Arabidopsis thaliana: one gene and its partners. The protein of the gene in region 2 purifies or fractionates together with the protein of the main gene of each other region. This does not show direct contact. Each region holds a gene or a part of one and is shown on either strand. Other genes may lie near its edges.

Region 1 (7,336 bases), on a different chromosome or scaffold from region 2:
TTTAACTCTAATCAAGTGAATTTTTAGTCTTTAGTGTTTTGGACCAGATCACGAATGTTTAATGTTTTGGACGAGAACTTGAGATTCGTCGATTGATATGGATGGTGTTCATCATAGGATTCTGTTTATCCAGAAGTTGGAAAGCTTTTTAGAATGCAGTTTGACAGTGGACAAAACTCCATCATTCGTGTGCCGGAGGGGGTTCCATGACATGACTGGCATGACTATCAACGGTCATGTTTCGCTAGGAAGCGTTCATGTAGTTGCTTTGAGGATCCATGAAGCAGCTACATGATCTTGATAGTTTTGGAAGACAAATGTGTGGAAAATTCTCTCACACTCAAATTCAAGCGACCGGACAAATTAAAAAACAGAAAAGAAGTAAAGAGGCAGCTGTGATCGAGTCATTTCGAGAGTTTGTCCGTGAGCTTATCTACCAGTCTTAACGGTTCATCTAACTAACCACATTTATTGGATATTTCTAACTTTTTCGATAATTTTATAAGTATTTGGAATAGTAAATTAGGCATCAACTGAAAATTCACCAAAAGAAAATGGATACAATTCTGAAAATTTATAAAATATTACGTCTATATTTCTCAATCGAGTTTAAAATCCGATAAGCCTAAATGAAATGTCCTGAGACTGTAAAAATAAAATCAAACAAAAAGAGATAAAGCAAGAAGATAAAGTTCTCATGCGTTTGTTACTAAGATAAGAAACAACATAAAGACTTTAAAGAGTAATAGAAGTTGCAGCGGAAAATTCACAAACACCAAAAGCTCAACACTCTTCTTCCATAAAAGAGCATCTCGTACTTACCTCACGATTGAAGCACATAATCATTCTGACTTGTTCACCGGACTTGAGAGGCAGAGCATAGCAAGCCAGATGCGTCTGCGCCAATGACTGCAAGATCACAGACCGAGCAAATGTTACCTTCCTGGCTTGGTACAAACCGGGCAGTGCAGTAAGGACATGCAACGTCTTTCTGTCCTTTGTAGATTGGCACATAAGTGGACCCGCATATCACAAACGGGTTTCTAAAGTCGTAGTTGAGTGTTGTTGCATCTGTCATGTTGCGTTCAGCTGCTTGCATAACTTGTCTAGCCGTCCTGGCCTGGCTCTCAATAGTTGGGTTTGTATCCAACAAACTTCTGGCGAAGTGAGCAGCAGTAGCCATGTTCTTTGACTTGTAGCAGACGGTCATTGCACTGAAGTACGCGAGCCGTAGGTGAGGTGTTTGAAGTTTACAGTGAGTGAAGTAAGCAGCGAGCTCTTGCTGCCTCACCGGATCATCTTTCATCTCTCTCCTCTTGAGCTCCAATTGAAGACCGAGGACATATTCTTTAACAATGATGACCAGTTCCTTAACCTCATCTACTTCTCTTCTTGACTCAACTACCACCAATGGGATGGTTTGGAGAATAGAGAGGAAGACACGAAGAGCCTCAGATAGTTTCCCAGCTGTTGTAGCTTTGTAGCCGGATTTGAGCTTTGCTTCAAGCTGAGAGAAATCAAAAACAAGAGCTGGCGGGCCACGGACGTTAGGACTGGAAGACTCACTCCATCCACGCTCAATGGCAAGAGGAACCACAGGAGATGAAGAAAAGGCACGCAGATAGCTATGGCTCCCACTGAACAGATCAAGAAACATCGATTTCAAAGGCGCAAAGTTCTTAATGCCAAGCTGCCTGTGGAGCAAACGCATTGCAGTGTCGAAGCTTCCTGCTGCAGCCTGCTCAGCAGCAAGGGAAGATTTCTGACTCCAAATCTGACTTACGGGCATACCTTGAGGAGGTGTCACAAAAGTAGATGAACGTGCGTTAGCAGAGGCTTTAGGAGTGTCAAGCTCTGGTGGAAGATCCAAGTCAAGTCCCCATCCACCTTCCTCGTCGTCTTCTTCTTCACCTGCTTCTGCACCATCCAATATGGCTTCGATGTCTGTGTTCTCCATTCCATCAACATCGAATTTGTCAAGTCCCTCACCCCAGTCGCCTTCAACATCTTCTTCTTCTTCATCAACAGCCCCTCTGTTTGCACTCTCAAGTCCTCCTTCAAATATTCCTTTCATCACTCTCAGTAGAGGCCAATCACCACCACACATGATGGGAGACGGTGGCATTAAAAGCGATGGAGTCTTCCCTTCAGGCAATGAAGGCACATTGTCTCCTAGCTCAATTGCTAGTCGCTCAGCAATGTCAGTTAAACCATGAACCGAAGCTGTGATATAAGCTAGAGGCAAATGACCAGCATTCTCTAGTATCTTAACACGCTCTTTAACATCTCCTAGGTAGAGTGCATTGTGAAACTGACCCATTACATTGTTCTTCACCTCTGCAATCTTCATCAACTTTGACAGCTTGTCTAAATTGCCAGTAATGAGATATAGAAAAGATAACCTCTCAAAGTTCTTTGTCTGCTGGTACGCAAACTCAACAATTCTAGAATTTCCTTGACGAAGAGCTTCCACTCCGAGTCTATACCAGTGGTCTTTCTCATTAATCTCTGTAGCGGATGCAACAGCTACACTGATGTTGCCACTTTCAAGAGCCAAGTTGAATCGGATCCTCTCGTCTTCAACAAAGTGTAGGGCAACTTCAGGAAATCCTTTCTGCTGAAGATAAGCGATCATAGCCTGTCCACATAGCTGGGAGTTCTTTATCATGCTCATGACATGATCATATTTCTTTCTCAGTAGTGCAAGCTTGAAAATGTATTCGGTTGCATTAATGGTGATAGCCCTGTTTTTCCCATCCCGGTCCAAGCAAAAGATTGTATTTCCAGACACCTTGGTGATGTAGATTGGGACATCCAGGGTTCTGATGATTCCACTATCTCCATTAGGCAGACAGTACTTGATGTGGTTCAGAGTAGTGTAAATGAAGACACCATTGTCGTCCCATGCTCCACTTTTCACACGTATTGTCTCATGAAGCGTGCACTGTAGGACAAGTTTTTTGCTCGCAATAATGATAGTATGTTTGCTGAGCAAAGCAACACTCTCCATATCGTTAGACCAAACAACGTACCTAACAAACGGTGTCTGAAGCTCACCAAGAACAAGCCTTTGTTGAAGGTCAAATATAACCACTTTATCCTCAGATCTACAAAGCAAATTTCCAGTCCCAGCATAAAAGATAGCATCTGTGGGAATAGGTAAAGAACTCTTTTTAACCACCTCATTCTTTAGATTCTTCACTAACACCTGGCTGGTGCTTTTCTCCAGAACAGCAAACCGATTTCGAGCAATGAACACCGCAGAACCCCCTGTCCCCCTCTTTGCATCTTGTACAACATCACTCCTGCCAACGCTATCTTTCGGTATGATGTACAACTCGTAAGAACCACCATCCAGATCTGAGCAGATTAAGACTGCATTTTCTGTCGGACTGTAGGATAAAGTCCTCGGACTTTGATTCAAGCTTGGGGTACCAGGACGCCGTATAGGAATAACTTGGGAATCTTTTTGAGTTGAATATTCATAGTACCGCAGAAATCTATCTTTGGCATAGAATAACGAATCACCACTCAAAGCAAATGCAGGACGTTCTCTCTCAAGTTTGAAAACAATCATACCATTGTCATGTCCTGCTGCAAGTAGATTAATCTCAGGGTGAACTGCAAGAATCCAGAATCGGTCATGCTCACGACGAAAAGTTTGGATTCCAGTTCGCTTGGTAGCATCCCAGACACGGATGCTTTTATCCTCAGAGTTTGACACGATAATGTCCTGTTTTGCATGGAACATAACGGATGAAACGTTATTCATATGACCTCGCAATGTATCCACCTCCCAAGCTTTAGTTTCTGCAACAAAATTGAAACGCATCAGTACCTCAATGATTCATAAAATTAACTTTCTGTGAAGAAGAAGACAGATATCCATAAGAAATACCATTCATACGCCACAGCTTTACTTGGCGGTCATCGGCACCAGAGACAATGAGAGGAAGTGTGGGATGAAAAGAAGCCCAGTTGACTCCTCTATCATGACCTTCAAGGACGTACTTAACTATAGCGTCAACCCCTCCAAAAAGATCAGAATTCATCTGACTAAATCGCATGAGGTCATCAGCAGGAGATGCTGACTTCTTCTTAAGAGCACCAATGTCCCAAACACGGACAGTCTGATCCAGTGATGCTGATACAACAAGATCTTCCTTTGGATGGAAAGAAGCACACATAACATAATGATTGTGACCAGTCAACACGGAAATACAAGTCCTAGACTGCCAGTTCCAAATGCGGATAGTCTGATCGTCACTAGCACTCACAATCCATGGGTTTTCGTGGTGAAATTGGACAGTGCGGATATAATCAAGATGCCCGAGAAGAGTGAAAAGACACCTGTGAGTTTTGTAGTTCCAAACTTTAATCTTGTAATCATCCCCTGCAACATCCAATGTAATCAATGCCATCAACTACATATGAGTAATGTTCTGTAAGAGCATTATAACTGTAACGAAGAAGAATCCAAGCCATTTGCATTTCTAGTTGTTTGAGTACTTACTTATGTTCAAATAAAATACTATGCAACATGTACCATAAGATCTGGTTTCAATGCACTAGGTCCAAATCATCCAATATGTTATATAAGTAACTTAAACACAAATTATTTACTCCAGCTGGGACTATAAGAGCTTAAGTCATCCATTAAACAAAGGTTGGGAGACCAAGCTAGATCTAGGAACCGAGGAAGCTAACTAGCTAAGGGTTAATACTTAAGCAGATCAGGATTTATCGATCATGAAAGTGTAATAAACAGACTTATTGGCCTACCAATAACAAAGCATACCTCCAGAGACGAATAAAGGCTGTGAGTTGTGGAAATGAACACCACGAACAGGTCCTTCGTGCTCATCAAATCTGTCGATCAAAGTACCCATACGATAATCCCAGAGCTGGATCACACCACTGTGTAAACTCGCGAGAATCCATGGTCGTTTAGGGTGGAAACTCAGACCCTTAACTCGGTTACTCTTGGTCTCGAACTTGGTCAGCATATTCACAGATTACGAAACAGAAACAACTCTACAAAAACCAGATCAACAGAGAATGAAAATCATGGAGAAAGATCAGTTCAAAGAAATCGAAAAACCCGCAAAAGGAAGAAAAAAAACGTAATCCACGTGAAATTGAAAACAGATCTAACGATAAGAAGCAGCAAGATCCGAGAAATCGAGATTCGTACAATGAAGAAGGAGAAGAAATAGAGATTCACCTCAGATCAGATCAGTTCACAAGGGGAAGCGATCAAGCTCAGCTTCACGGTGACGATCAGTAGCATTACCAGAGAAGCGTGGATGCGAGAGCAAGAGAAACACAAGGATCGTCTAGAAGAAGAAGAAGAAGAAGAAGACGGTGAGATTCAGTTTCGTCGTATAGATCTGAATCCCTCCGCTCAGTTATCTCTGTCTCCAATTTGCGTCTCGCTAATTTAATTGGCATGAATTACTCATTTTTACTTTTATTTTATATGGAAGCATCAACTTTACATTTTTTATTCCAAGATAATTAAAATCTGTAAAATTTTGACTACAGAGCTTCATATTTTTAAATCAGATAACACTTCAAATGCTCAATCAAAAAATTATTACATGAGAGAAAACAATATATTAATTGGGGTTATTGAACTGATATTACACAAAAATGTATAGATAAATACATGATTTACGACATTAACCCTGGAGTAATTTCATAATTTCATTAGCCCTGGACTCGATTCCTTTGAGATACTCGGTCAAAATTCGCTGCTGGTATGAACCCCCTTCCTGGTATGATCAGAATAGTTGTGGTTAGAATGATGAATTTTAGAAAACAATATCTGGTTAAAACCCCAACCCAAAACCCGGTTAGCCTCGCATTCACTCCTGAAGAGAATAATAACAATGCAAGCAAATGTGTCATGGTATGTTACTTACAGTTCGAATCAGTGTGCGCTCGATTCGTTTCTTGATAACAGCAGATAGCTCATCAGGTGTGATATCTCCTTTTCCGATTGTTAACCCGTCTACGAAAAGCTTGTTCCATTGTTCCTCAGGAGCTGAAACACACATAATAAACCGATGTGAAGTCTGGCTGGGGTCTATAGTACATGGAAAAGTGGTTGCAGAACAGACCTTTGATCAGAGTTTCAAGAAAATGCTCGGCTTTTACAACTTCGTTCCCTGTGACAATAGCTATAGTGGATGAGATTATGTTCGTAGAAAATGGTTTAGAGTGACTTGGCATAGTTTTCAAAATTGGGCAAATCACCTTTCTTTGCGTAGCTACGCTTGGAGAGGATAGTAGCAGAATAGAGTTGAAGAACTTTTTGCAGCATAGCCAATAACCCTGGTTTGTCTTTATCTTCTTTTGCCTGAAAACAATCGTCAGCCTCAAACATTCAAAAGAATACATCTATTCACTGTAAAGGAAAGACCTCAGAAGTGAAACAAAACAAATTGTAGCACTTACCTGCCGGAGCTGAGCATTAACTTCTGAAAGAAATCCTTCATCTAATTGCCCTTCTTTTTCCCGTTGTATAATTTCCTGTTAATACACTGATCTCAGTAACCATGACGATATCAAATCACAGAATCTAAGACCAGATAACCCTTCTGAATATAGGTTGTATATATAAAAAATGTGTAGATGTAGTAGAAAGTGAAGAACAACTAGTATAAACCTTTTTCATTAGATTGATGGCTTCAGGATCTCTTGGCGGCCATGAAATCTCTTCCACTCCATCTATAGCAGGTCTTAAAATCCCTTTCAGAATATCAGTAGACGTCTCTATCTTTTCCTAAAGGGATATAATGAACTCTCAGTTATCCCTGTTTAAGTAAACGCTGAAGAAGAAGAGACAATAAAACCACAGAAGAAAGAGAAACCCGAGTCTTATTCACAACACAGTCAACTATAGTCATCACAGTTGTAGCTAACTCCTCATAGTCCTTCTGTAAGAAACAAACCGTATTCAAAGCATTAGCGGAAACAAAAGAGATCAAAAGTCTGCTCTATCATTGACATAAACAATATAAACTCATGCCTTGTCATCTTCTGATTTACAAGTATCCGACCTAGCTGCTAGTCTTATCCAAAAAACCTCATCAAAAGCAAGGATATTTTCAACAACAATCTTCTCAACCTGTTCAATGAAAATGGCAACAACAACAAAACAAAACTCAATTTACTCAAGATAATAGAGCAAAAACACAACATTTATACGATGCATATGACATGTTTCCTTACTTGTCTAGGGTTTGCATCTCTAAGAGCATCAATCATCCGATCGATTTCGACAGTCTTCTTAAAGGCATCTTCTGGATCTCCCTTGACTGCACAGATCAAA
Region 2 (4,173 bases):
GCATTGTTGTTTGAGAATCTACATATATATTTTTGCAGCCATTCTGTGAAATAAATCTTCAAGTTGGGACTTATTTACAGTGGCTGCCACTGATATTTAATAATTATTTTTGATAATTAGAAAGTAAATCTTCGAATTAAATATTTGCATTTAACTACCTTCCCAAAATCTCTCCGCATTAACTATACGATTAGTTACTAAAGTAAAACTTCTAAAATAATTAATATGATTTAAACACTACAAAATTATCATTTTTGATATTGCTTTTTTTCATGATTATAACAATTCGATTATAAGCCGCAAACCATAGAGATATTTGATAGCAATTAATTACTACAAAATTACAAAATATTTAAACAATGATTCATAAACATATCATAAATAAAATCAACATTAATAAAATAAATAAATTTTTTTACGGGACGGGTTGGCGGTACGGGTTTGGCAGGACGTTACTTAATAACAATTGTAAACTATAAAATAAAAATATTTAATAGATAGATACAATTTGCAAATTTTTATATATACTAACTTTAAAAAAAAATTGTGATTAAAATCTAGTACCACAATAAAAACAGGGACTTCGGCTTTTATTAGGAACAGAGTTTCGATGTCTGAGAACCAGGACAGATGTTTCTGCATAATTCATGTACAGTTAAAAACACATCTTGATCGATTCAACATGAAACCAAACACAGACTCCATTCATTATTATTCGCAGAATCTAGAGACCGAAATGAAAAAAAAAAAAACCATTCTTGAGCTCTGTTTGTTCCTAAGACGGTGAAAGCATATCACCAGTCATCTTCTCTGCTTTCTCCCCACGCTCACCTGAAAATGTTTTATCAACATGTACACACGTTTTAAGGCAAGCCAAGATCTGTGTCTTTCTTTTAAAAAGAATATGGCTTTTGAAGTTTTTACCTGTCCTAACTCTTATGACATCTGACACAGGCAAAACTGTATATAACCAAACAAGAAACAATCACAATCTGAGTAATTTCATTTTGCATTTACAATTTGAGGTATCAAACATAAATCTGATTGTGAAAAGAGTAACAAGAAAACTTTTTGTGTTACCAAAAATCTTGCCATCACCAATCTCTCCTGTCCTTGCTCCTTCAATTATTGTGTTGATTACAGATTCCACCTGCAACAAGAAAAAAAAAAGTAATGGCTCAAACTCGAATTTCGCTTATGAAGTATCGATTTTTTTAACCATATACGTACTTGGTCTTTCTTAACAACGATTTCCATCTTAACTTTAGCAACAAATTTGTCTTCCGAGAACTCAGAGCCTGCAAATGCAACAATGTGTATAGAAAAGTCATGAACACATTTTGACAATAAGAAGAATCATCAAACCAATTCTTGAATTCACGGACGTACCACCGTGTCTCTCGGTAGAACCTCCTTGTGCACCAAACCCTCTCACATCAGAAACAGTAACACCTCGAATCCCGATTTTCAGTAAAGCCTATTTATTTATGAAACAGAGAAACTCAAGATTTAGTTTTGGATTTTTCAAAAGTGTAATAATCATCTCTATATACTAAGGAAGTAACAAGTACCATCTACAATAACTATGAGAACCATAAACCCTTCAATTCAAATTCACATTTCAAACACTAGAGAAACGAAGATTTGACCAGTCCTGTCGAGTTCACTGACATTATTTGATTTTCGCATGCATCGATAAGAACTACTACTCTTACTTATTTCTCAAAATTCTGTTTTATAGTATTCAAAATCCACATTTAAAACACTATAGACTCTTCATGGATAACAAGTAATAATGGAAACCTCAAGTGATTAGCAAAGTTCAAATCTTTTCACATATCAAAGTTGAGAACAAGGAAAATCTTACCGATGAAACTTGCTGGATTCTCCATGGTCTTTATCAGTCCAACATTCATACATGAACAGAGAAGAAACAAGCAACATTGTCACAATTATGAGCTTTGATTGGTACATCAAAACAAAAATTAGAAGCTTACCTGACAATTGCTTCCACCTTGTAAAATTTCGAGTCTGGAATATAATCTAACAAAATATGAAAAGAGAAATGCTATGAACACACAAAAGAAACCAAATTGATCGAAAAAAGGATCAGAGACTCATTACTGTTGGCTTACCAGAAGATATTTGGGCACTAACGACAGGTAAAACACGACTGTTATTACTCGGTGACTTTGTGACCAAATCGAGGCAAGATGGTCGGGAATGTCTGAATCCAGAACAAATCGAAATGCAATCAGAGAAAGCAATGTTCTTTCGATCAGAATAGAAACCGAGAGAAGTTATTGAGATGGGTTTCGTCATTGACGCCGCCATGATTCTAGTTTTTTTTTTAACACAACTTTCAGAGTTTCCTCTTTACCAACTGATTTCGACCATCGAAAGCGACGACGAAGGAGGTAATTATTGGAAGTGGAACTTCGAAGTTGACGACGAGTCGGTTTAGCTAATAAAACCGGTTTAGTACAGAAATTGATTTCCGGTTTAGATCGGTTTAGTGAAGTGGCTCTGATGGAATGGAATCGAATCAAGTCTGCTTTAAAGTTACGATTTTTCGATCTCACACTGGTTAAGGTGAAACAAAAATGGCTGAGGAAGAGTTCATATACAGAATCAGTACGGAACAAGAATGGGAAGAGTTTAAGAAGAATGGATCTTCTTATGGTGCAGAGATTGATAAATCAACTTGTTATTATCATCTCAGCAAACTTGATCAGGTCTTTCTCTCTTCCCATAAAGATCTCAACTTTTTCATTTGGGTGATGAAGATTCTCGAAAATTTTCTCATTTTCTTAGGCAATTTGGTTTGAACTTGTGAAAAATCATTACTTTTATGTAGATTTTTACTGCTTTTGTGATGAAATCGATTCTCTGATTTCTAGGTACAATTGACATTGAAGAACTTTTTCGTGGATGTGAAGGAGTATCTTTACCTTCTTCAAGTCGATCCTAAGAAGGTTGACTTTTACCTTTAACTTGAAACATATGTGGATAGAAAATTTATGATCATTTTTGTGTTAGGGATCCTCTAGTTTGGTGAGTGGTTGATTTGGTAAATGTTAGTTTATTGCGTGATTAGCTCCATGTTTAAGTAGAGGAGCAGTTAGCTAAAGTGGGTATGAGTTAGCTAGAGTTGGTTATGTGTGGTTTGTGCTAAAGTTTAGTGTTATTTTGTACACTTGAAAACAAAATGGGTTTCAAACATTTTTCTTACCAAGCTGCAATTGTGGATAAACACAATCTAAGTAGCAGAACCATGATCTTAGGATGGTCATGGACATTGATGTAAAGTTCTTACAAAATTGTCATTTGAATCGTTATGCTACGTTGATGTTTTGGATACATTTTAGTGCTAAGAAGAGATTGACATTTTTGTTTTTGTTTGATGTGCTTTATTTGGCAGCTTGGAGATGGATTAATCTATGAAGCTGTGGATGAAGTAAATAGCTTCCCTCACTTCTATGGTCCAGACAAAACCTTCGTTCCTCTTCCTCTAGATTCTGTCGTCAAAGCTGAGAAGCTAACATTCATCAATGGAAATTTCACATGCAGCTTCTTGACTTGATGATTCACTGCTTTAAGTTTAATTGCAATGTCACTCTTTTAATAATGTAATTAAGAAAGTTTTTTTCTTCTTATTCACGAAACAGAACCAAAAAACAAAGTGTATTATTACAATGCAAGATTAAGATCTAAACCATTATCTTTTCTCATCACCTTCTCAACTTCTTCTTCTCCTTCATCATCATCTTCTTCTTCTTCATCATCTTCTTCTTCTTCTTCTTCTTGCTTCTCTTCTTCTTGGTTCTTGGTGGAGATAATCGAATTCGATGGCTTTAGGTTTAAGTCCATACAGTGAGAAAAATCTTCAGCACGGAATACAGGAACAATGCTGTAGTCGGATCTCTTGGTCGGCATCGAAGCAACGTCGCCAGAATCTTGAGTTAAGTATTGTCGTCTTCGTTTCTTAGCATCCTGGTAGTTTTTAATGAGATTGAAGAACATGTCCATCTTCTTGTTCTCCAACTCTTCTTCTTCGTCTTCATCGATCTCGTTGATCCTTTTGTTCTCTGTTTTTTCTTCTTCTTGGTTCATTATCTCTTTTCGATGGTGAAGAAGAAGAAGAAGAAAGTTTTGTTTTTCTTTCTTTTGTTT
Region 3 (7,764 bases), on a different chromosome or scaffold from region 2:
CGCTTGAGTATGAACATCTCAATGCATAATCATGGGAAAAATGAGTGGCTCAAGTATGAAGTTCTTTTCCTAAGGCATCCATCACATCCGTACAATCATATCTAGGTACATATATAATTATTGAACTACAGTTCGAAAGCCATAACGACCATGGAAGAAAAATGCGAATAGCAGAAAATAAGTGCTCGGATACCTTGTCTCTGCAGTGTTCGCTTCAACAGAAAGAGCAACTTGCCAATCCTCAAAAAGATTTGAGTACTCTTCAGGATCAGCTAAAGATTCAGCTGCTTTTGGATTAACCTGATGACAAGTCAAAGGCAATTTAAAGCCACATGATGAATTTTCTCATTGACACAGTAAACAAAAAAAAGATGCGAAAATAACCTTGCTGAGATCTTCCCTCCATAGAGCTACTATCTCCGAAACTTTGCTTGGAAGATAAGAACGTGCCATCAGAGCAGCTTCTGGTATCCGGTTACTGTCAAGATAATTTCTTGTCATAAAGATAACAAAAGACACATATTTGATTTTTCCAAACGGCCAAGTGAACAGTAATGAAATACCTCTCCACCAATAACTGCAGACAATCTTCCAATCTACCCAGCGTAAATAAGCAAAGAAAGGCAACATTGTTCTTCCCCTGTTCCTTAGCAAGGCATGCAAGTTTTGACACCCCTTCAGCATCTCCCAAAGAAGAATATAGTAGTAACAAACCACTCAAATCCATAGCGTACTTCATGCAATCCTCGGCCAATTGCAGCTATCATGATAGAACACACACAAATGCAAGAGAATCACTTAGTAAGTAGTAGATATCAGCAATGAATCCGCAAAAGCTAGAAGAAAGCTCATTGGCATTGTAAGATCTAAATATACCAATTTGCTCCTATAGATACAATGTAAAGTAGTAAACTGACTGATATATAGCATTTGCAAAGAAAGTTATTTTTCTATTTTCCACTACAAATCATTGGGCAACATTTTTATAGAGAAGATGTACCTTCCCCGAGGACATGGCTAACTCTCCTAACTGCTTCCATTTAGACTCGCTCTGTACTTCTTCAGCAATTTCCTACAAGCATGGAAAACAAAGATAAGAAAAAAAATTCTACTTCCAAAAAGAGTAGAGTAAAGTAATGTCTAAGCAATTAAGCATCACATATGATATTACCTTTGCAATTTCAAGTCTACCCAGTTGTATGGCCAGATCAAATTTGTAGTCTGGATCTGTCGCAATTTCTAAAGCATCTTCAATCATTCCCCGAGATTCCAAGAAATGAGCAACACTGAATATTAAAAACATTTTCAGATCAAACTAAAAGAGATACACACAAAACAGTGAAAAACCTATTGGTAGGGGGGCAATATCTCTAACAGAACATATCCACAATATTCTTCAAAAGTACATTCATAGGACATAGCAGGCAACAAGAGATAAAATGCAGTAGTAAAGAATGAATTATAAGTGAATGCAAAAAATTTAGACCAAAATAACCTATAACATACTTGTTATGCTGCTCTTTAGGAATTGTAGGTAAAATTTGATTGGCTCTATCCAAATCGCCTCGCATCACAAGAGTCTTGTATTCAATCAGGCTAAGCAGCAGGGTATATCCTATGACACTGCATTCCCAAGAAAAAGGGAAATATGTTAGCAAATTATGTATGCAAGATAAAACAGTCTCAAATAAACATATATAAAGGAACGTACTTGAATTCTTTGTCTACCAAGTAAACCCGGCTTTGGTTGGCAATATAGCCTAACAAATACATTGGGCGGTCCAAATGATACATTGTGGTTACCTGCCACAGGTATATTAGCAGCTATTATATAATGTAGCTCATAAAGATGATTAGAAATAAAAATAGACTCTTGAGTACCTCGCCTCCAACACAATAGTTAAGCTTCCAAGAAGAGTTGTTGTAAATGAAGCAGTCCCCAACCCATATACCGGTCCTAACACGTTCATCATTCTCGTGGAGAACCTCAAAAGCATCCTCAACACCCTCTTCATCAGTTGGTCTTCCACTATCAAAATGCGAGGAAACCAACTCTCGCTGTAATAGCGAGGAACACCAGAGTAAGCTTTTGAACAATCCACGAAAGTGGGAATGAAAATAATAGCTGAACATTTGAGGTTGAACAGATTCTCACATTGTACTTCAAGATGTAGAATGACGTATCACTAGCAATGGCTACTAAATCACCACTTTCAGCCCAATAAAGATTCTGCAAATTTTTCATGGGAGTAAAGAGTTAGTAAAGACACTAATTGGGACAACTTTCAACTGAAAATAAAATGTAACGACAGAATTGGAAAAAAGTGATGAATGCTAACTTCTCACAACAGAGACAAGGTAATTGGATACCTTTACGGTGACATCAATTTGTTGAATCAGCCTGCATTCGGCCCAATCATAGAAGCAGATGAAATCATTCGAACACATTGCTAACAAGGTTCCTCCAAAAATCTTCTCAGCTGAGAAAGTAGGCCGGATACTCTTCCTTTCCTGAAAACACCACCTTTTATTAATATAATAAGCCAGTAATAGCTGTCTCTATTGCAAGCATCTGCAATTTCTTCAACCCTAGAATCATACTCCAACAAAATAGTATGAGTAAGGCCATAATGAGAATAGCAAACCTGGAAATTTTTACTGAATATCTTTATCTTTGATGAGCTTTCTCTAACCGCACATTCCCCCTCAGATGACCAAACAAATTCCAGGCCAGACCCAAAAGATCTATTTCTCCACGCCAAAGCAGTGTAGATTATGTACTCTCCATCACCGCAGACTACGACAAACCTCCCATTAGGGTTGTGCTTCAAGCTCTGAGAGTTAGAATAGCTATATGTGAGGCAAGACATAATTATTCTGGACCACACTCTTGGGACTTCATATGAAACAGAGTTTCATTTTTATCATCTATTAACGCTTCATTTCAAATATAATATTGTTTTAAGTAACCATAAAAACCACAGATTTAGCTGAAGCATGCTCTAGTGATACCCACCACAACTTCAATGCACAAGTCCATCACACTCATTTAAGTGGGACATGCACCGAAAGTGTTTACCCCAAAAGATCCAATGATAATTCAACACAACAGGAAAGTTTCAAAGGTGCTGGATAGTAACGCTCACTTGTGGATAAAGATCACAGGTCCCCAACTCTTTAACAGACAAGGGAAGTCTTTCTCCATCAGTAGCCTAAGGTAGAGAGATGAAAGCTTAAAATCATCAGGCAGTACAAATAAATAGCTGAGTCACGCAGGTTTTCCCATGCCAGAATACAAGAGTTACAATTAGGAGCTAGACCTCGTAACCTGCACCAATACTTTTGATGTTTGCGGTTTGAATTTCATTATGCTTAGCCCATATGATTTTTCCGCTACTGTCCATGCTAGCGACAGGAATTTCTCGTCCAAGTTTAACCATGATGGTTCCTTCATCATATCCAATCACAACCCTGTAAAGCAAACACATTCGTTGTTGATGGTCCCGTATGATCAGTTTAATAAGGTGCTAACACTGATCCCTAAAAAACTCCTAGCCACTCTAAACGCCCTTATCTCTCCAAATCGTCAATTTCAGAGGAAAACTAGCTACAATAATGACAGAAACAAAAATTCTACCAATAGAGAACATCTACTTTTTGATCAAAATTCTAATAAGCATTAAGTATTAAAAGTACAAAAACTCACCGCCGAGAACTTTTGATGTAACCAATGGCCCAAACTCTCTCGAGACCATAATTTAATGTGTTTTCTAGCCTGAAAAGAGAAAGAGAATCGAAGATAACAAATCAAACGACAAAATAGAGAAAGCGAACCTATGGTGAAAATGAATACAAGAAATAACCGCATGTGAACAAAGTGTATTCAAGTGTTAAAAAACCCCAAAAAATGTAAGCATTGTTATGTCTTTTGACAGGAAAACGTTAGGTAAAAATACCTGTAGGTAGTGGCGTGCCAAATGCGAACAGTGCCATCCTCAGAACCTGTGATTATTATTGGAAGCTCTGGATGGAAACATACGGCAGAAACATTGTGTGTGTGCCCATCTAGCGTCTGGACACAACTTTTGGTTTGATAGTCCCATACCTGAAAAAGTACCACTAGTAAACGATCTGCAAATACATAATTCTCAGGGGAATCAAAGCACAGATATTGGAAGCTTAACCAGAAGCATACCTTAGCAGTATGATCATCAGAGCCGGTAATTAGATAGGGTTTATCACCCCCTGTGAAATAATCTACACAGTTGACTCCTTTCTGATGAGCATCCAGTGTAAAATTTGGGTCTGGGGAACCAAGATTCCATATCTGAATATGAACAAGCATGAAAATTAGTCTAAGAAAACCCTTTTAAAAGTACCTCGTGCTAACTAAGCCATAAAAGCTCAGTGCTTGGACCTCTTACACACCTTTATGGTACGATCAAGCGAAGCACTGGCAAAAGTGTTGGTATCTTTTGGATTAAATACCACTTGCATCACATAGTGCGAATGTCCCTCAAATATCTGAGTACAAGCCCAACCGTTTTCCCAGTCCCAAAGCTTTATGAGCATATCATCAGAAGATGACAGCACATATGGAAGGGTCGGATGGACAGCTACACACCTAATGTAATCCGAATGAGCCTCAAATACTTTGACCTTGTCCATTGTATTGTAATTGTATACACGGATGTACATATCATCCGCTCCAGCCACAACCCATTGCTTGCGCGGAATAAACTTGGCCGACCTAACTGCAAAGTCATATATAAATTTCAGTAACAGCGACAGACTATACAAGGCAATATACAGCAAGTGAAAAATCTATAACAATGAAATCAGAAGATGCTCATAAACTTGTTATACCTGGCAATTCCGTCACCTCGAAGGATTTTGTAATCGTCTGAGTATAAGTCATATTAAAATGATATTAGACGAGATGAAATGAAATCATAAAAACTATATCTAAAAGACTAATTACAGCCCTCTGAACTCATAAAATGTGTGATGTTTTGGTTATCCCATGTCATGGCAAGCATAAATATATATTAATAAAATAGAGAAACAAATTCAAATATTCACCCACCTGTGTCTGGTAGTTCCAAATACACACGGTTCCAGAATACAAACTTGCTAGAATCCTGTAACACCGTGTTGTTTATTAAGTCAGTCATTTGTAGCAGCAATAAAAGTACAAACATACAGTACTACCCACAGCAACTGTGAAAATTGTTATTCCATCAACACATCCAAAATATAACATATAACTAAGTTGCAAGATGGCAGAATCAAATTTGAAATTACCATGGTTCAGTAGGATGCAGATCAACAGATTTGACTCTCTCTGATCGTTGAGCAAACTTTCTCTGATCAAAACATAACAAAAGCAAATTATGACCACAGCTATAATAATAAAATAACAGAAGCAGAAAGTTGAAAGATAAGCAATACCTTGATATCTAGTCTGAGAGGCTGTTGCAACATAAAGAAGAAGAACAATAGTTAGTTCCAGACTTAAACATATCAGAACGCAAACAAATGTTGCTCATAGAGAGCTTTAAAACCCCCAGAAAACACCAGATCTTTTCAAAACACGATGATCAAAATCCAAATTCAACCTCAAAAACCAAATGCCAGACACTATACTCGATTTCACGAAAACTACAATCTATAGGCGCACGAACACAAAGACGGCGATGTTAAACCATATGATTTCGGATTCCACGATCTCACTTGAATTACGCAAAACTACTACAGATGAAATGCAATATCCAAGATCGCATCGCAAGCAAAATTCAATTGAGATCTGGAGAAAAATAAAGAATGCGAGATGCGACTACTTACCATGTTTACAGATTAAGCAGAAGATCTGCTCGTCGGATCTCGTATCTCGCTTGAATCTGCTAACCGGCGATCGGAGAAAGACGTTAGGCTCGTCGTAGAGTGCGTTCAGAGAGCTTGTATTAATACGGCGGAGATGAAAATTATTAAAAGAAAATTTCACAAATTATGCTTCAAGGAACTGATGAAGATATTTACGAGAGTGCCACTGGTTCTGTTTATGAACGTCGTCGTAAAATGAAAAAAAAAAAAGTAGTAAATAATTCTTTCTTTTTTCTTTTTCTGCTATGAAAGTGAAATTAGTGTGAGGATTATTTTTAGCCTGAAGTATTTATGATTTAAGTTTCATCAACAATATCATTTTATACTATGTAGAGGACAAGTCAGATATGCAATTAAATCGTGACATGTTGCATTTTTTGACAATTCAACCTAAAAATATATTATGTTGAAAATTCCTTGCACTTTTAAACACAAGTCACTTGTGCAATAAAATGATGACATGTGGCATTTATTCAATTTTTTCAAAAAAAAATGTTAAACGAGGAAAAATAATATATGGCGACTTCTTTTTAACGTTTCTCTAAAAAAAAATTAGTTTGTATTTTGCCTCTAAAATATGAAAGAAAACACAAATGCCTCATATACGAATTCCTATATTTCATGTCAACGATTTATGGTGATGGAAGGATACTTGGTTCAGGCTGTGAAGTAGCCCAAACATAAACCTTAGGTAATGAATGGCCCATGTCACAGACTAAAAAACGAGAGTTTATGGCCCGACTCTTTAAATGCTACTTGTGTACACTTACCTTCACTCCTTTTTTTGGGTCATGTTTCTTTCAGTGACATTGCTAACGTATGAAAAACTTGATTTTCTTGGTTAATTTAACATTATCAATTTTAAGAGAAAATCTTTTAATGGATTCAGAGTTACAACACCAACATAGCTTATATAGTTATATAGCATTCATCTTTTATATAGTTTGCTTTTTCTTTTCCTTTTTGTTAAATTGGTTATAGTTGCTTAAGTTTAGGTAATGGATAACACGCAATATTCATCTTATATATATATATATATATATATAATTTACCAAAAAAAGGAATTGTTTGATGTATTTATAGCTTTCCAAATTCTGTTTGGTTGTAAATTTTAAATACATAAATATCATTTACTAGGTTGCTTAGCTTTGCGAAAAATCGTAACTAAAGCATCATTATTGCAAGTTAAACAAATAATTGACATTTCAGCCGCTTGAATCGTTTTCGTGTTTATACCATCATTAATTTATCCATTCCTTAGCCCTTTTCTACTCCTTTCTAAATGTCTTTTTAATCATGGTTTTATATTCAAATAGAATTCTAATTGGCATATTACCCTAAAATAAACATAGGTAATCGAGTTTAAGACCAAATTAAAGAAAGTTGATAGAAAGTGTGAGACAGAATGTCATTAGAAACTTAAAAAAATGAAAAGGCATGTTGTAAGTGAGAATAAACCTTCATGATTCCTACCAAAAATAGTATACAACGTATTGGTTGAAGGATTAACCTTTCATATATAGATTGATAGAAAGTGAGCCAAAATTGCATTAGAAGCTTTAAACATATTTTGAAAAGGGATGATGTATGTAAGAATAAACCTTCATGATTCCTACCAAGTTTTATAGACAACATATTCACTTGGTTGAAGGATAAACCTTCATATTTATTTAACCAACAATATATGTACGTGTGTCGAAAAGAATATATCATGATTAGACCATAATGAATATATACTTGCATTACTTGTTGCATAGTTTATTTCACTTCTACTGGTAACATAGATGGACTCGAGGCATCACACATCAAGTCCCAAAGGGATTAGTTGTTTGGATGCCTTTTGTCCCATTTTATCGAATTTTCATGCAGGCTCTTCATATT
Region 4 (7,673 bases), about 16 Mb from region 2:
ACTCAAATAAGAAAAGGAAACAATCAAAATTTCCTTTTTTCATTGAACAAACGTGTACTTATAAATACACCCCTTCTCTCTTCTTCCTTGAGAAAAGTCTCCATTCTCTCTTCTTCTTCCTGGAAACCTAAACCACGTAAGGATTTGCTCTGAATCTAAATATTGACGTGGAGAAGACGCGATCTTACTAATTCTCCATTCTCTGCTTCAACTTCACCGTAAGATTGAACAAACCTTTACTTATATATACCTCTTCTTTCTTGAGAAATCCAAATTCTCCATTCTCTCTTCTTCTTCCAAACCAAAACCTAATTCTCCATTCTCTGCTTCAACTTCACCGTAAGATTGATCGGTTGATAAAGCGGCTCTTTTTGGTGATTGATCTCTGTTGTGACTACATCTTAGGTCAATTCAGATTGCTTTCATATCAAGTCTCTCCTAATTTCACAAGATCAAAGATCCCGGCCATGGATTCAGTTGTCGACGGCGAAGGAGAACACAAACGACGACTAAGGATGCGAAAGTGGGAAAGAGGGATATAACGAAGACATGGACAATGAAAGCAACGAGCAGTATAGAACCAAATCAATGGATCATGATCTGTGTTTGGTACTAGGTGTTTCCTTGGCGTCGACGAGATCTTTTGAAAATCTTGTGTTTCGTCGATATCACAAGCAAAGGTATTTTCTTTTTTCCTTTTCTATTTTTAATGATTCATTTTTTACTAAATAAAAATTTATTTTTAGATTTTTTTATTAAGTGTTAAAATTTTCAATTTTGTGTAAATTAATTTAAATTTTTAACACTTGTTTTTGTTTTTATTAAAAACTGTTTTTAAACCTATATTTTTATACTACTATTAAAGTTTTAAGGTTTTTCTTATTAAATATTAAATTTTTAAATTTTGTGTAAACTAATTGGATACATCATCCAATCCCCTAAGAGGTGTTCTAGGTTCAATAGATGGTTTACACATCATTTAAATTTTTAACACTTGTTTTTTATATTTATTAAATAAATGTTTTTAAACCTAAATTTTTATACTACTATTAAAATTTGAAGTTTTTTTTTATTAAGTGTTGAATTTTTAAATTTTGTGTAAACTAATTGGATACATCATCCAAACCCCTAAGAGGTGTTCTAGGTTCAATATGGTTTACACATTATTTAAATTTTTAACACTTGTTTTTCTTATATCAAAAATATGTTTTAAACCTTTATTTTTATACTACTATTAAAGTTTTAAGTTTTTTTATTAAGTGTTAAATATTTAAATTTGTGTAAGCTAATTGGATACATCATCCAAACCCCTAAATAGTGTTCTAGTTTCAATATGGTTTACACATTATTTAAAGTTTTAACACTTGTTTTCCTTATATTAAAAAATGTTTTAAACCTATATTTTTCTATTACTATTAAGATCTTAAGTTTTTTTTTTAATTTTGTGTAAACTAATTGGATAAATCTTAACTCCTAAGAGGTTAGGTTCAATATGGTTTACATATAATTTAATTTTTCTTATATTAAAAAATGTTTCTATTTTTATTTTACTATTAAGATTTTAAATTTTTTTTTGTTAAGTGTAAAAAATTAAAATTTTGTGTAAACTAATTGAATATAACATTCAAACCTGTAAGAGGTGTTTATAGGTTCAATATGATTTATATATAATTTAAATAGTTTGCTATTTTGTTTAGAATCAAAATATTTTTAAATGACATGTTGTAATAATTGACCAAAAGAAATTAGTGTGTGATTTTGTTGAAATGCAGAGTACAAAGCCTTAATTTATACCAAGTTATGGTATCTATAACGTATATGAATACCAAAATTTTATTATTTTTAATTGGTGTTGTATTTTATAATTCGAAATAATTAGGGGAACGGGCAAAACCTCTCTGTTCTCTCGCTTATATTTTTTTTAGAGAGAAAGCAAATCAGTTTCAACGATCGGATATTTTCTGGTGTTAGCCGTCCTGACTTTTTGGGCTTTCTGTCCGATATCACCGGCTCTGGTAGCGGTGTTGGTTGGCTCTAGTCCGGCAGCGTCTTGTTCACATAACCGGTGGTTGCTGGCTCTTGGTTTCTCTCGTCGATGTAGATCGATTTTTAATCTGTGTTTTTTTATTTTCATGTTTTGTTTTTAATAATTCTCATCTGAGACATGTTGGTGATAGAGTGAATGCAATCTCGCTTTCTAATGCTTCTTATCCGATCTGTTCTTTTTTAAGTTTTGATTTACAGAAATTTTTGGAGAAATTTGAGAATGATGTTGAAGAAAAGAAGTGGATTCTGTTGTTAATTATCATAGCCTTAAGCTGTTGTATATTTAACATGAGCCTCGATTGCTTTTTATCGGTGAAAAAACAAAAAGATCCATGTTCTATGAGACTATCGACGGTGATTCTTTCACCGAAATCGGTGCTCAGACGGCGAAAATGAAGTCGGTTCGCTTTAGAGTACTCATCTGACACGTATATTAATATATCGACATGTGGTTTGGGATAGAGTCAAACTATAGTTTCTTCTTCTATGAAAGACTCTCTGTTGGCCTATTTGGTCCTAAATCGTTTCTGTAATCGCGGACTTTTCTTTAAGCTTTGACTATCTTGATTAATACAATATTTCTCTTGGGACAAAAAAAAAATAATCTTAGTATTTCTTTAATATTTTTTGTTTGGGTATGGGCTATTGGGCCGCTTCGAAAAGTTCACTTTCTCTATCGATCTCTCACAGTTTCTGAGTTCTCTGACTCAAAAACATATAGTAGAAGAAAACGATTAGAGATCTTCTTCTTTCTCCTGTTGCATCTGAAGATAAAGGAAACAGAAAGCGCGAGATCTGAGTGACGGAGTAATTTCAAAGGGAGGTTTTCGAGATCAGAAATGGCGCAACCCCTCGTGAAGAAAGACGATGATCACGACGATGAGTGTATGTGTTCTCTCTTAATCTCCTTATAATTTTCGAATCAGCTGGTTTTCTGCAAAATGTAGATCCAGATGTTAAGCTTCTAGATCTGTTATCATTCAACAGTCGTGATTGTGATTTGGTTGTGTAGATCTACAATCTCAAGTCCGATTTAGTTTTGTTTACCGCATTCGATCCCGGTGTGAATTGCTTTGCTTATTTCGATTTCTGATTTTTTGTTGGATCAGTGGAGTATTCTCCATTCATGGGAATTGAGAAAGGAGCGGTTCTTCAAGAGGCTAGAGTCTTTAATGACCCTCAGGTTGATCCTAGACGATGCTCCCAGGTCATTACGAAGCTTCTTTATTTGCTTAACCAAGGGGAGTCATTCACCAAGGTCAGTTAATTTTTTTGCTTATACTGATTCGATGTCATGCTTATGGAGAATTGAATTATTGTGTTCTTATCCTCTCGCGATGGTTGTTTGTTTCATATGCAGGTTGAAGCAACGGAAGTTTTCTTTTCAGTTACAAAGCTTTTTCAATCAAAAGACACGGGTTTGAGGAGAATGGTCTACTTGATCATTAAGGAGTTATCTCCATCATCTGATGAGGTCTGTAAATTTTACTCAATTTCAATACGAACATCGTCGCACTTATTGTAGGTATATTTTCTGATAAGTTGTTGGTTTTTTCGCCCATAGGTTATCATCGTAACAAGCTCTCTGATGAAGGATATGAATAGTAAAATTGATATGTATCGAGCAAATGCTATCCGTGTCCTCTGCCGGATAATAGACGGAACCCTTCTCACTCAGATTGAGCGATACTTGAAACAAGCCATTGTGGATAAGAATCCCGTTGTTTCAAGTGCAGCTTTAGTCAGTGGGCTTCACTTGCTCAAGGTACCTTTTACACACCAAAACTATTAGGTAGCTTCTTAATTGTAATGTTATGCTTATATTCGTATATTGCTGTTTTCAGACAAACCCAGAAATTGTTAAAAGATGGAGCAATGAAGTTCAAGAAGGTATTCAATCCAGATCAGCCCTTGTTCAGTTCCATGCCCTAGCTTTGCTCCATCAGGTTAGTTTGTTGCATTATTATCACCGAAGTCGATTGGTCTATGTTTCTACTCTTTGTTTAATTAAACAGCCACTGAGAAGAAGTATCTCGGAAAATGAGAGGTGTTACTATGTGTATTGGACTAGATTCATAAATAATAAGTTTTCTGTAGCAGCATCGTAGCTCTTTACTACGGCCTTTTCCAGCAATTTTAGTTTCTTGTGAGGTTTAATCTGTGTCTGGAGTCTGTCTCAGATACTGCTGATTCTAGCATATGTAACTAATTAGGTTGGTTAGGACAACCTATTTATGTGTCTAAGATGTACGAGTTACCAAATGATATGTATTGCTGCTGTTACGTTGATTTAAAATGACTCCCAACATGATACACTCTCAATCTTTGATCTAATAACTGTCAATCTTTGATCAACTTGATAATCTTTCATCATATTCAGATACGCCAAAATGATCGCTTGGCTGTTAGCAAATTGGTTGGTAGCTTGACCAGGGGATCTGTCCGCTCTCCCTTGGCTCAGTGTCTTTTGATACGTTACACCAGCCAGGTTATTCCTCTCTTCTGTTTGATCATTTGATAAGTGGCTGATTGTATATGTGTTATTTAGCTCTGGTTTCTAATATTCAGGTTATCCGTGACATGGCCAACCACGGTCAATCTGGAGAACGTCCGTTCTATGAATTTTTGGAGAGTTGCCTGCGCCATAAGGCAGAAATGGTGATCCTTGAGGCTGCCAGGGCAATTACTGAGCTTGATGGTGTGACAAGCCGAGAACTGACTCCAGCAATCACTGTTCTTCAGCTCTTTTTGAGTTCCCCCAGACCAGTGTTGAGATTTGCCGCTGTCCGGACTCTGAACAAGGTTTGCAATGCTTTCAACTGTTCTCTTTGTACATTGACACCGAAATGATGTTTTACTATTCTGGGTAGATTCATCATTACCTTTATCATGAGGATGAGGAGATATTTCACTGTATACTAAACACAAGTTTGAACCACAGGTTGCAATGACTCATCCTATGGCTGTCACCAACTGCAACATTGATATGGAGAGTTTAATCTCTGATCAAAATAGAAGCATTGCTACACTCGCAATAACCACACTATTGAAAACAGGGAACGAATCAAGTGTAGAACGTTTGATGAAGCAGATAACTAATTTTATGTCAGATATTGCTGATGAGTTCAAAATTGTGGTCGTGGACGCAATAAGATCGTTGTGTGTGAAATTCCCACTGAAATACAGATCCTTGTAAGTAAAGTTTTAGGGTTTGTTATTTGTAGTTTTGGTCTCGAGCATTTCTATTTTTTTGAATGATTAAATATGTTATGGTATCTTTTTAGCATTTGGCTTATGATTGATCTATCACCTTTTCATTTGTAGGATGACCTTCTTAAGCAACATTCTTAGGGAAGAAGGTGGATTTGAGTATAAAAGAGCAATAGTAGATTCTATTGTGACCATTATCAGAGATATTCCGGATGCAAAGGAAAGTGGACTGCTTCATCTATGTGAATTCATTGAAGATTGTGAATTCACATATCTTTCAACACAGGTAATTATTCCATCATCCATCTGGGGTTGCTATTAAAAACTTATGTGTTATTGAAATGTTTATTCTCGCACAGATCCTTCATTTTCTGGGAATTGAGGGGCCTAACACCTCAGATCCAAGCAAGTATATACGATATATATATAATCGTGTGCATCTAGAAAACGCCACTGTCCGGGCTGCTGCTGTTTCCACACTTGCAAAGTTTGGGTTTATGGTTGAATCCTTGAAGGTATAGTCATCATAACAACCATTATTTTTATTTTCCGTTTATCTTCTTTGACTGATGATAATGCTCGACAGCCCCGGATTACTGTTCTATTGAAGCGTTGCATCTATGACAGTGATGATGAGGTGCGTTCCTAGTCTTAGTCTAGAAAAGCATTGCTGTTTCTGTATGTCTGTTTGTTTTGAGTCGTTGCATCATCAAACATGCATGCATGTGTTTGCCTCTGTAAACATTTTCGGATGCATGCAATGCAAGTTGTTTGATGATTCCTTCCTTGCTCATGAGTCAGACATCTTTTTATCTTAAGGTCCGTGATAGGGCAACACTATATTTGAGTGTTCTTGGTGGTGATGGTACTGTTGACACTGATAAAGAGAGCAAGGATTTCCTATTTGGTTCCCTGGAGGTTCCTCTAGTCAACATGGAAACTAGTCTGAAGAATTATGTGAGTTAATCTATTTCTCGGTTTTCTCCTTTTCAATATTCTTAGGACATCAGTTATCTTATATCTGGGATTCCTGCAGGAGCCCTCTGAAGAAGCTTTTGATATCAACTCCGTACCTAAGGAAGTTAAATCTCAGCCCCTTGCAGAGAAGAAAGCCCAGGGTAAAAAGCCCACTGGTCTTGGTGCACCACCAGCTGCACCTGCTTCTGGTTTTGATGGCTATGAAAGACTTCTCTCATCCATTCCAGAGTTTGCCGCCTTTGGAAAACTTTTCAAGGTTAGGGGCTGATTTGTCTTCTGTGTTATTCTAATGTTAATGGCTTATCTTGTTTGCTTTAACTTGTACTTTCTTTTTCAGTCTTCTTTACCTGTGGAGCTAACTGAAGCAGAAACAGAATACGCTGTCAATGTTGTTAAGCATATCTTTGACAGTCATGTGGTGTTTCAGTACAACTGCACTAACACAATACCAGAGCAGTTGTTGGAGAGGGTACTGAACATTGGTGTAGAATATTAGTGTCAAGCATATCTTATCTTTCTTTCCTCATTTAATTAATTTGGCATGGGGTTGTAGGTCAATGTCATTGTAGATGCTTCAGAAGCTGAGGAATTCAGTGAAGTAACTTCAAAGGCCCTAAACTCACTTCCTTACGATTCACCCGGTCAAGCCTTTGTGGTTTTTGAGAAGCCAGCTGGGGTCCCTGCTGTTGGAAAGTTCTCCAACACATTGACTTTCGTTGTTAAGGAGGTACATGTTAAATAGGCTATTCACTTCCATCTTTTTATTTACTTACACTGAAAATGACCCCATAATACTTTGTGGAGAACTCTTATAAACAACGACTCATTTGGAGAGGAGTACCAGAACGACTCAAATTAATCACAGAAAACAAAGAAAACTCTCTAACTACATTGTTTGTGCTTTTATGAATGTGTTAAAACAGGTTGACCCAAGCACAGGTGAAGCAGAAGATGATGGAGTAGAAGATGAGTACCAGCTAGAGGATCTTGAGGTTGTAGCTGGAGATTACATGGTGAAAGTGGGTGTCTCCAATTTCAGGAATGCGTGGGAAAGCATGGATGAAGAAGATGAGCGTGTAGACGAATATGGCCTTGGCCAAAGAGAGAGTTTGGGAGAAGCTGTAAAGGCTGTCATGGATCTTCTTGGCATGCAGACTTGTGAGGTTAGTCTCTTCCACTTTTTTCTCATACTCTACTGAGACTTGAGGGCTAAAATTATTGTTGATAAAGTCTTTTTTGAGTATATGACCATTTGTTGTGTTCCTGAAATTGAAACTGACACTGGATAAATAACAGGGGACGGAGACAATTCCGCTCAATGCAAGGTCACACACGTGTCTATTGTCAGGTGTGTACATAGGCAACGTGAAAGTGTTAGTGAGGGCACAGTTTGGAATGGACAGCTCAAAGGACATTGCAATGAAGCTGACAGTTAGAGC

What was found.
Region 1: the proteins of GLB1 (region 2) and AT2G21390 purify together in Arabidopsis thaliana (affinity purification with mass spectrometry, with the first as the bait; one study listed by BioGRID). This does not show direct contact.
Region 3: the proteins of GLB1 (region 2) and AT3G15980 purify together in Arabidopsis thaliana (affinity purification with mass spectrometry, with the first as the bait; one study listed by BioGRID). This does not show direct contact.
Region 4: the proteins of GLB1 (region 2) and AT4G34450 purify together in Arabidopsis thaliana (affinity purification with mass spectrometry, with the first as the bait; one study listed by BioGRID). This does not show direct contact.

The regions. Positions count from the first base shown.
Region 1 is NC_003071.7:9,150,098-9,157,433, reverse strand, and holds AT2G21390 (Coatomer, alpha subunit), read right to left. Parts: upstream 5,495-7,336; 5' UTR 5,225-5,494; intron 5,035-5,224; 5' UTR 5,007-5,034; coding exon 4,799-5,006; intron 4,394-4,798; coding exon 3,899-4,393; intron 3,811-3,898; coding exon 857-3,810; 3' UTR 528-856; downstream 1-527. Other genes in the region: AT2G21385 (uncharacterized protein), read right to left, coding at 5,682-5,774, 5,925-6,046, 6,123-6,170, 6,259-6,361, 6,460-6,534, 6,671-6,787, 6,876-6,941, 7,034-7,132 and 1 more. UniProt on the Arabidopsis thaliana protein: The coatomer is a cytosolic protein complex that binds to dilysine motifs and reversibly associates with Golgi non-clathrin-coated vesicles, which further mediate biosynthetic protein transport from the ER, via the Golgi up to the trans Golgi network.
Region 2 is NC_003075.7:819,897-824,069, reverse strand, and holds GLB1 (nitrogen regulatory P-II-like protein), read right to left. Parts: upstream 2,525-4,173; 5' UTR 2,335-2,524; coding exon 2,136-2,334; intron 2,044-2,135; coding exon 1,998-2,043; intron 1,896-1,997; coding exon 1,868-1,895; intron 1,478-1,867; coding exon 1,390-1,477; intron 1,299-1,389; coding exon 1,231-1,298; intron 1,151-1,230; coding exon 1,081-1,150; intron 961-1,080; coding exon 925-960; intron 832-924; coding exon 776-831; 3' UTR 501-775; downstream 1-500. Other genes in the region: AT4G01897 (dihydroorotate dehydrogenase), read left to right, coding at 2,604-2,735, 2,901-2,975, 3,422-3,583; AT4G01895 (systemic acquired resistance (SAR) regulator protein NIMIN-1-like protein), read right to left, coding at 3,691-4,113. UniProt on the Arabidopsis thaliana protein: Participates in sensing carbon and organic nitrogen status and regulates some steps of primary carbon and nitrogen metabolism.
Region 3 is NC_003074.8:5,412,467-5,420,230, forward strand, and holds the start of AT3G15980 (Coatomer, beta' subunit), read right to left. Parts: upstream 6,028-7,764; 5' UTR 5,848-6,027; coding exon 5,845-5,847; intron 5,473-5,844; coding exon 5,452-5,472; intron 5,367-5,451; coding exon 5,305-5,366; intron 5,142-5,304; coding exon 5,087-5,141; intron 4,904-5,086; coding exon 4,867-4,903; intron 4,755-4,866; coding exon 4,429-4,754; intron 4,328-4,428; coding exon 4,196-4,327; intron 4,106-4,195; coding exon 3,957-4,105; intron 3,776-3,956; coding exon 3,707-3,775; intron 3,472-3,706; coding exon 3,321-3,471; intron 3,233-3,320; coding exon 3,147-3,232; intron 2,851-3,146; coding exon 2,646-2,850; intron 2,512-2,645; coding exon 2,371-2,511; intron 2,231-2,370; coding exon 2,156-2,230; intron 2,059-2,155; coding exon 1,882-2,058; intron 1,804-1,881; coding exon 1,712-1,803; intron 1,624-1,711; coding exon 1,507-1,623; intron 1,287-1,506; coding exon 1,172-1,286; intron 1,073-1,171; coding exon 1,001-1,072; intron 761-1,000; and 6 more. UniProt on the Arabidopsis thaliana protein: The coatomer is a cytosolic protein complex that binds to dilysine motifs and reversibly associates with Golgi non-clathrin-coated vesicles, which further mediate biosynthetic protein transport from the ER, via the Golgi up to the trans Golgi network.
Region 4 is NC_003075.7:16,469,071-16,476,743, forward strand, and holds the start of AT4G34450 (coatomer gamma-2 subunit, putative / gamma-2 coat protein, putative / gamma-2 COP), read left to right. Parts: upstream 1-1,665; 5' UTR 1,666-2,885; coding exon 2,886-2,931; intron 2,932-3,155; coding exon 3,156-3,304; intron 3,305-3,406; coding exon 3,407-3,520; intron 3,521-3,610; coding exon 3,611-3,811; intron 3,812-3,890; coding exon 3,891-3,992; intron 3,993-4,426; coding exon 4,427-4,534; intron 4,535-4,614; coding exon 4,615-4,848; intron 4,849-4,987; coding exon 4,988-5,238; intron 5,239-5,370; coding exon 5,371-5,542; intron 5,543-5,615; coding exon 5,616-5,771; intron 5,772-5,842; coding exon 5,843-5,893; intron 5,894-6,075; coding exon 6,076-6,213; intron 6,214-6,292; coding exon 6,293-6,490; intron 6,491-6,571; coding exon 6,572-6,703; intron 6,704-6,787; coding exon 6,788-6,961; intron 6,962-7,157; coding exon 7,158-7,397; intron 7,398-7,530; coding exon 7,531-7,673. UniProt on the Arabidopsis thaliana protein: The coatomer is a cytosolic protein complex that binds to dilysine motifs and reversibly associates with Golgi non-clathrin-coated vesicles, which further mediate biosynthetic protein transport from the ER, via the Golgi up to the trans Golgi network.